2 linked regions of the Nothobranchius furzeri genome follow. The protein of the gene in region 2 purifies or fractionates together with the protein of the main gene of each other region. This does not show direct contact. Links are inferred from orthologs where the notes say so. Each region holds a gene or a part of one and is shown on either strand. Other genes may lie near its edges. The genes, in order: srp54 and srp9.

Evidence for each region.
Region 1: the proteins of srp9 (region 2) and srp54 purify together in Homo sapiens (co-immunoprecipitation; 4 studies listed by BioGRID and IntAct, counting the BioPlex papers as one, with this or other methods). This does not show direct contact. The link is inferred for Nothobranchius furzeri from reciprocal best matches to the Homo sapiens genes SRP9 and SRP54.

Annotation. Positions count from the first base shown.
Region 1 is NC_091758.1:16,489,190-16,493,700, reverse strand, and holds the start of srp54 (signal recognition particle subunit SRP54), read left to right. Parts: upstream 1-1,413; 5' UTR 1,414-1,512; intron 1,513-2,872; exon of another isoform or gene 2,873-2,914; intron 2,915-4,511. UniProt on the Homo sapiens protein: Component of the signal recognition particle (SRP) complex, a ribonucleoprotein complex that mediates the cotranslational targeting of secretory and membrane proteins to the endoplasmic reticulum (ER).
Region 2 is NC_091742.1:28,143,045-28,147,510, forward strand, and holds the start of srp9 (signal recognition particle 9 kDa protein), read left to right. Parts: upstream 1-1,658; 5' UTR 1,659-1,788; coding exon 1,789-1,860; intron 1,861-1,967; coding exon 1,968-2,036; intron 2,037-4,280; coding exon 4,281-4,400; 3' UTR 4,401-4,466. UniProt on the Homo sapiens protein: Component of the signal recognition particle (SRP) complex, a ribonucleoprotein complex that mediates the cotranslational targeting of secretory and membrane proteins to the endoplasmic reticulum (ER).

The sequences.
Region 1 (4,511 bases), on a different chromosome or scaffold from region 2:
AGGAGACAGTCTGATCATCTTCATCAGCAGCTTTTATAAAGTTATGCAAATAAAATCCACCTGGTTGGTCAGGTGTCCCAGAAGGCTGTTTCTGTAGATGGTGACATGAGGAGGGACAGATTACTGTCACACTGGTTTTTATTTGAACACTCAACTGTTTACTAAATGATTCAGCTTCATTCCAGCATTATTTATACGTACAATAAATATTTATTTAGCTGAAAATATAATGTTATCAGTGCAGAATTTTATTAGTTGACTTTTTGTAATGAAATGTTTAGATTTAACCTTTTATCTGCTTATTGATCTTCATAATGCTGGTAGAAATGTAGCTACAGCTGTGAAGTAGCCCATGAGTGTTATTTTATGATACCTAGTATTTATGTTACTGTATCCCGTTCTCTGGACCAGAGTATAGACCTGTGGTCACAGACAGTCATTAAACTGGTAATTGTGAGGTCAGGGGTCACACTTTTTTCTGAGTGTTTGCAACACAGTTCTGAGTTTAAATACCGGTAGTTCTTTTGACATAGTTTGCTCAAGTCATTTTGAAGTTCCTGTTTAGTAATAAATGTAAAGAAAATTCAATTCTGTTTTTTTTTTCATTTAAGCTGCAGTTTTACAGACTTTAATAAACATAAACACTAAATACAAACAGACACTGAAAGCTGAGGTTGTTCTGAAAAAAGGAGCAGAGTTACAAACATTTTACACTTTTTGTTACAATTTTAAAGCCATAAAACAAAATAAACTGTTATATTTATGGTCATAAGAGGGTTAAACATGATAAATTTTCCACCTCCCACAAAGAGATGGTAAAAGTGAATGTGAGCATAAATATATACATTTCATTACTTTATTATGTATTTTTTATTATTGACAATTACTCCAAAGGGTTCAAATAAAGGCAACTGGACTTCTTTGGTTTCTTTAAAACGTTTCACTTCTCCTCTGAGGAGCTTTGTCAGTTCTAACTGGAATATGGGAGAGCCAAGCTTATAAACTGTAGCTGTCCGTTGTTATTTAAAGAGCAGAAACTACTCTGAGTACCCCGCCTCTCCATCTCCTGATGAGTCGTTAGCCTCTATTGATGGTGAGTCATCGTGTTGATTAGATGCAGGAAGGTGTGACCTAGACTGAAATTGAATGAGATCCAAAGCTGCGTACTGGAAAGGTGAAACCTAAGCCCCGCCCCTATTTAAAGTGGGGTTTTCCATGTTTTACATCGATAGCTTCTTTTACTCCTCTCTCAAATCATCTATCTTCTCTGTCCAGAATGTGGACTTTGTCATCTTCAAAGGTGTGTCCCTTGTCCTTCAGGTGAAAGTGGACTGCAGAGCTTTGACCTGAAGAGGTGGCATTTTTTCATTTATCACTCAAATTGTATCCTTCCGTGTGTTCAATAAAGTTTTTAAGTCATGACGTGCTCTGATCACGTGGCACTGTGTTTCCGGTTGAGTAGATTTTTAGATGACGCTTTTCTGGTGGAGTCTGGTTAATCTTTGACACTCGGTAAGACTCCCAAACTTCATATTTATCTGTCTGATTCTCCGTTGCGGTATTTTACAATCCTTATTCATCTAGCCGCTTGAATATTTAAATGTGTTGCTTCAACCATTTCTGTCTAAATTCACGAGTAACGGCTGAATGTCTGCTAGTGCTTGCAGCTAACTGCTAATGTTAGCGCAGCTGTAAACATCTGAAGTGTTTGAAGCAGCTGTCTGAAAAAACGAACCGACAGCATGCTTTTCGATGCGTCTGACGTTGTGTTGTTCTGGGTAAAGATGTGTATTGTTTACCAATGTTTGTTTGCAGTTTTCATTGCAATAATAACTAGTTTCATTAAGCAACCAGACTGTTTTTTTGCACAATGCTTTATACAAACTGGTGTAGCACGGTGATTAAACACGTAACAGGTGGGAAGAATTCAGTTGGAAGCAGCAAAAAGAAAATCTACCAGCTCTGAAACCAGCAGTGATAATAGTCTTATGAATAATAGTAATAATTATTATAATAAATCAATTGAGGAACTTTATAAACAAAAAAGTATTCACATTAGAGTTTAGTTCTCAGTAAACTCAGGTAATCTGAAAACAACGGAGGCAATCATAATTAAAATCTGATAGTATTCAAAGGGTACTAAAAGATAATTTAAAACTTAAAATAAAATAGTCTAAAATAGTAAAGTAAAATACTGGAGACAAATAAAAAATCACCTGGATATCAAAGGTATTGACTTACTCTCTAGTAATTTCTTTCGTATTATCGTTGCTGCAGGCCCTTCTGTGTGATGTAAGCTGTTTAAGCAAAACAGGAGAGGCGAGGCGGGGGACAATATTGAGTTCGAGTGGGCCATGTGCCAGGCTTCCATTGTCGGAGTGGTGGTCGCAGGGTCGTAGGTGCCTGTCATGGTAGCAATCCCAGAACCTTCTGGCGATTAGGGATGCCATCAAGCTGAAGAAAATCTTTTTGGCCTGTGGGACTCCAGACACAGCTGAACCGGCAGTCCAAGCGGAATGTGGCCTGTGTGTCACTGGTCACCAAGGCAAAAACCCGGGCGTGGGGGGAGTTCGGTGAGACCATGGAGCAAGACTTCCATGCGGCTTTGAGGAGATTCTGGTCTATCATCCGGCGCCTAAGGAGGGGAAATTAGTGCGCTACCAACACTGTTTATAGTGGGGATGGTGTGCTGATGATATCGACTCGGGATGTTGTGAATCGGTGGGTGGTGGAGTACTTCGAAGACCTCCTCAATCCCATCGGCACGTCTTCCAGTGAGGAAGCAGGGTCTGGGGACTTTGGGTTGGACTTTCCAATCTCTGATGATGGTCACTGAGGTGGTCAAAAAACTTCTCAGTGGCAAGGCTCCGGGGTGGATGAGATTTGCCCAGAGTTGCTTTCCGCATTGCCGGCAGTAAGTTGTGCTTGTTTCTGGTGAGAGTTGGACTCCGCCAAGGCTGCTCTTTGTCACCTATTCTGGATTTCTAGGCACAGCCAAGGTGTTGTTCAGGCGATCCGTTTTGGTGGTCTAAGAATTGATTCTGGTTTTTGCAGATGATATGTAGCCTAGTGAACTAGACCAAATTCTTGCTTTGCAAAGAATGGTCTAGGCATGCTCCATTGGAACCTCAGCAGCTCCTACCAGGACTCTGGCTAGCCAATCACAGCTCTCTAGAGGGGTTTCAAACACATAAAGAGCTGTGATGGGCCAATCATAGTGCTCTATCTGCTTAGTGAACAAATCACAGAGCTTTATCCGCTTTGTGGGCCAATCAGGGCACTCTATATGCCTGGTGGGTGGGATGATGCAACAGAGTGAAACAAGAGTATGTCACATTCTTTGTCCAGTGGAATGCGGAGATCATTTGAAAGACAACGGTAGAACCCGCCCCACAACCGAGAGCCGTCAATGGAGCATGGCCAGACTAAATAATACATTTATTTAGTCTGGCTTGCCAGGCTAGATGATATGGTCCTGTTGGCTTCATCAGAGCGTGATCTTGGGCTTTTGCTGGAGCGGTTCGCAACAGAGTGTGAAGCAGCTGGAAAGAGAATCAGTTCCTCTAAATCCGAGACCATGGTTTTGAGTCGGAAAAGGGTAGAATGCCTTCTCCAGGTCAGGGATGAGGTCCTGCCCCAAGTGGAGGAGTTTAGGTATTTCAGGGTCTTGTTCACGAGTGAGGGAAAGCTGGAACGTGAGATCGATAGGCGGATTGGTGCGGAGTCTGCAGTGATGTGGGCGTTTTACCGCTCTGTCGTGGTGGAGATAGCTGAGCCAGAAGGCAAAGCTCTCGATTAACCGGTCGATCTATGTTCCTACCCTCACCTATGGTCACAAGCTTTGAGTAGTAACCAAAAGAATAAAATCAAGGATTCAAGCGGCCAAAATGAGTTTTCTCCGCAGGGTGGCTGGGCTCTCCCTTAGAGATAGGGTGAGAAGCTTGGTCATCCTGGAGGGGCTCAAAGTAGAGTCGCTGCTCCTCCACATCGAGAGGAGCCAGTTGAGTTGGCTCAGGCATCTGGTCAGGACGCCTCCTGCATGCCTTCCTGATGAGGTATTCCAGGCACGTCCAACCGGGAGAACGCTGGAGGGACTATGTCTCTCGGTTGGCCAGGGAACGCCGTAGGATTCCCCCAGAGGAGCTGGTCCAAGTGGCTGGGGAAAGGGAAGTCTGGGCCTCCCTGCTTAGGCTGCTGCCCCAGCCACCCGACCCCGGATAAGAGTCCGAAAATGGATGGATGGAGGAGAGTTACCAGAACTAACTGAGACAGAACCACTGCAGGAAGATCTGACCTGAGAAATATGTTGCCTGTGTTAGAAGGGCTGTTGTAAACAAATCAAAGGTTTGGGAAGACCTGCTTCCAGACCTCTTTAATCCAAGTCTGGTTCAAGTCTGTTCTTCTGTATGGCTGAAAATTTTTAGGAAAATATTGAATCACGATGTTTGTTCTACTCTATTAATGCAAGGAGAAAAACTGAAGGTCCAAAAACTAGAGATGTCCCGATACAA
Region 2 (4,466 bases):
ACTGCAAGAGTTGCGATTTACTGCTCTGACGTTGTAATTGTGGTGGGGACCATCAAGCGGCTTATAGGGGCTGTGTGGCGTACAGGGTGGCGGTGGAGGTGGGGAAGGTTCAGGCTGAGCATAAGGTGTCATATGCTGAGGCAGTGTGTCGTGGGGGTGCGGAATAGTGGTGCATCCGGGCCTTGTAATGTGCCTTTGTCAACTGGTGGTGGGGATGTGGGGGCGGGTGTGGTAGTTGTGAAGGATAAAAGGAAGTTTTTGGCGTTTCTGGTTGAGGCCTTGTGGAGGGTGAAGTATGGAGCGTCCAACAAGTCCGATGTAGCTCGTGAGGTGACAGCAGTGGCGGGGGTTTTCTGACGTGTCCCCCGAGGAGGTTTGGGGTGCAACGTGTTTGCGGGATGTTGGGGGTTCTTGGTCTGCTGAGGATTGTGGGACGCCCTTGGTGGTGGGTGTAGATGGTGGGGCTGGGAGTGTGAGTATGGGGTGAACCTCCATGTGGGGTTGTGTGTTTTCACTGGGGTGTGAACGGGTGGTGGGTTTTTGTTGGTGGTGGTTGTGTGGGAACACGGGGTGGGATGGTACTCGTGCCTGTTGTGTGCAGTGGGTTGTGCTGGCTCAGTGTGTTGGCTGGTGTGGCAGCAATACGCTTTATAGGTGTCTAGCCTGCCTAATTTCAAAGAAGAAGAAGAGACACACGGGTGTTTAAAAGGGCAACATGGAGGTCCCTGAGGATCAGGGTTGGGAAACACTGGTTTAGACTGTACAGTTACCCACTGTATATACGTATTTGTCTTGCTTTTATCAACTATTTTCAGCTTGAATAAATTGAAGAGTTCCTTTGTGAGCAGCGGAAACACTTCCTTTATTTGGTTCAACATAAAATCACCCATGCTGCTTTAATGTAAGTGGATACAAACCAACATTTCATCAAAGTCTGAAATCTCTAAGCTCCTCTGTATACCACTAGCTAGAAAACTGGCTGCTCCTTTTGAAACCTAAAAACATTTAAAAAGAAAACAAAAATGTGTCACCACAGAATATCCCACTGATTGTTCCTACATCAGGTATAGACAACAGAGTAGCTTATGAGAACAACTCTGAGGCCTGGCTGAAGTGGCTGAGTCTTAATTTCCACTAATGATGGTGATGCATCCTTTTCAGCAGTTTTAGTAACTTTGTGGTTGGATGGTCCTCACTTGGAGAAGCCCTCTGTAACGTGTAGAGAAGTGCGTCGTCGGCAATTAAACGCAAGTTGGCACTCCTGTAATAAATAAATAAATAATAATAATAATAATAATAATAATAATAATAATAACAATAATAATAGAGACCATTTGGTCAGTGAAGAAAAGTTCGTACAGCTGTTTTAAACCTTTGACAGTTTCAAAAAAAGAAAAAGAAACTTTTCCGGCATACGACACGTTCATTCAAAATAAAAGTCGTCTGACTCTAACGAGAATGTTCAGAAACGTTAAACTGAGATTAATGTTGTAAGGACTTGTGCATCAGACGGAGACAGACAACTATTAATTTAATCGTGATGCAAGATAAAAGTGTCAGTAAAGTGGCGATGATCGATTAATTTAAAATGACTTGACTTGAAGTGGCTTATTTTTGGTGTACTTTTACTTTGAAAAAAGGTTGATCGACGGGTTTCCGTATCCTCTTATCTGAAATCTGATAGGCTGCTGCGGCTTTGCTGCTGATGTGGGTTTTTTAAGTTAGCTTGTCGCTTCTCCGTTGCTTTAACCCCACATTCTGATCTAACTCTGTACGTTTGGGGAAATAATGCCTTACTATCAGGTCTGGGAGGAGTTCGCTCGCGCGGCAGAAAAACTCTACCTGGCAGATCCGATGAAGGTGAGTTCGTGTGTTTTAGCACACGGAGCTAGCTTGTTAGCCACATGATGGTGTTGGTTCTGAGCGTCATGCCAGAATTCCTGAACGCGTTTTTGTTGTTTTTGCAGGTCAGAGTGGTCCTGAAGTATCGACACTGCGACGGTAACCTGTGCATCAAAGTCACCGACAACGCTGTGGTGAGACAAACGAAGGAAACAGAACGATGTTCTGCTGTTTGTGTCAGGTTTACCCCAGCGTCCACCTTGTGTTGATTTAAAGTTCAGCAGACGAAGTAAAGCGACTCCACTCCTAGAGATGCAGCGCTTCAATAAGGGTGACAGGAGGAAAACGTCGGTTAAGTGTTGTAACCCCATATTCTAGTTTAGCCCTTTAAAGCGACGCCTATTGGATAATCCCTTCCTTATCCAATCACTGAAGAGCTTTCATGTACGCCAGCCCGCCTATGGTGGGTCCCATCCTGATCCTATAAAAGGTCAGTGACCACAAAACGTAAAGCCTGACTCATGCTTAAGCAAATGCACATTTGCGCCCCCTGCTGCTGCGTCGTATCCATCGACATATATATACTGGACAATTCATTTCCATAGGCTCCAATAACATGTTTTTGAGGCTAAATGGGAGGTGGCCACCACCGCCATCTTGACCGTGTCACTTGTTCAGTCAAGCCCCGACAATTCCACAAAAGGGAAGAGAGGAGGAGCTGAGGGTGGGGCTGTAAGGCTGGGATCAACTGACGACACCCGGTCGAACTAGCTACAAGCTAACCTGAAGCTAACCCAAAGCTAACGCGGAGGTGGGAGCTAAGCTAACGGAGGTAGCAACCTAGCTACAACCGGAGTTAACTGTGCACAACACCAGAGCTTCTGAGTCAGAGATACGCCGGGCTGACCGCTGGGGAGAACCGGGTGGAACACAGAGGTCTCCGAGAGCTCCACAAGCCGATAGTGGGAACCCAGCTCCACCAACATGTTATATTTCAACCCATTTTCTAAAGTGCAGCATTATGTTAAATGCACTGGGTTTTACCCTATTACATTTAAATTTCATGGTTAAACAGTACATGTTAAAATCTAAGCTCAGCTCGGCAGTGACCTAAAATACATAAATATAATTTTACTTACCGAAAAAAATGAAGTGGAGACTCCTTGGACGCTCTATTAGTGCAATTAATGCCACAGCAAGTCATTTTGTCCAACAATTGCACAAATAATATCCAAACAAGAATACACAAACACAGAGACTCAAAATCCCGGAGCAGTTTCCAGGCCAGACCGAGGCTCTACTGAGGCCTTTCCCCGGAGCTAGCTCTGTGGTCACGTGGGTCTGATGCTCATTAATTATACAGAATTTTAGGCTTTTAATACACTTAAACAGAAGAGTGAGAAAAACATTCACCCCCCTCAGAGTTGTCATGAGTGTAAACTAGATCATTTAAACCAAAAACATGTTCTGGTACCAGGCTGTAAACATGTTTATTTCTGCTGTGAAATTGGTATTTTTAACATGGGAGTCAATGAGGATTTGCTCGCTTCTGACACCAGCCCCTAGTGGATGAGGGTGGAACTGTAATTTTTGGTACCTCCGGGTTTGACTCCATTTTTGAGCCACATGGTGGGGGCTTGGTCGTATCTCCTCTAATCATACTGGCCCGACCCTGTTGCAAAGAAATTCTCCGCCAAAACAACAGATTTTGTCTTTGGCTTTCTTTATGTTTTTGAGGGGCCAATGGCGGCGCTGTTGACGACAGCGACATGCTGACTAATCGCAAGCTTGCGTTCTCTGTCTCGTTGGATGGATGTTTAGGGAAGTGGGCTCGACTCCGTCTGTCCTTGTGAGCCTGCTGGTAAACCCCTGCGTGGACGGACAGTGGCGTTGCGTGTGTCTGCGGCGAGAGATGCACACGATGTTTTGCTTTCAGACTCCTCCATCAGCTGAGGATTGTTGCAAAGCAATTCCCCTCCAGGACAGCAGAGGGCGTACCACTATTCTGAGGTATCCTGCCACCATTAGTCACATTTCCGGTCCATGATGGTGTACTTACTGTTGTGTTTACATTGTTATATTTCAGAGATTTTGTCCCTCAGTCCTCTCCACCTGTTCATACAGTCGGGGCCTCTAAACTCGCGGTTCTTGTCTTCTCCGTCTACAAATAAAACACCCGTTGCATATTTTTGTACTCCTTCAGTCGCGGGCGAATAAACGCGCATATTTTTTTCCGCGATGCGTTTTTCAATCTTATCCGTGTCTGCCACTAAATATCTTTAATTTTTGAAGCCACAATGACTGTGCTGTTGATGAAGTGACAGCGTCCTCCTGACCAATCACAAGCTTGCGTTCTTTGTCTCTTTCAACAGACACTCTAGGCTCTAGGGCATGTTGATGATCTTTCACCATCGGTGACGGTTTGTTTCTGTTTTCAGTGTTTGCAGTACAAAACAGACCAGGCTCAGGACGTGAAGAAGATCGAGAAGCTGCATGGGAAACTGATGAGACTTATGGTGTCCAAGGAGACGCACAGCGGTGCCATGGAGACTGACTGAGAGGCTCTGGAGCTCCTGGACTGAGCTCAGTGGGCACGGTGCATTTCAGAAGCACCAGGATGAGGT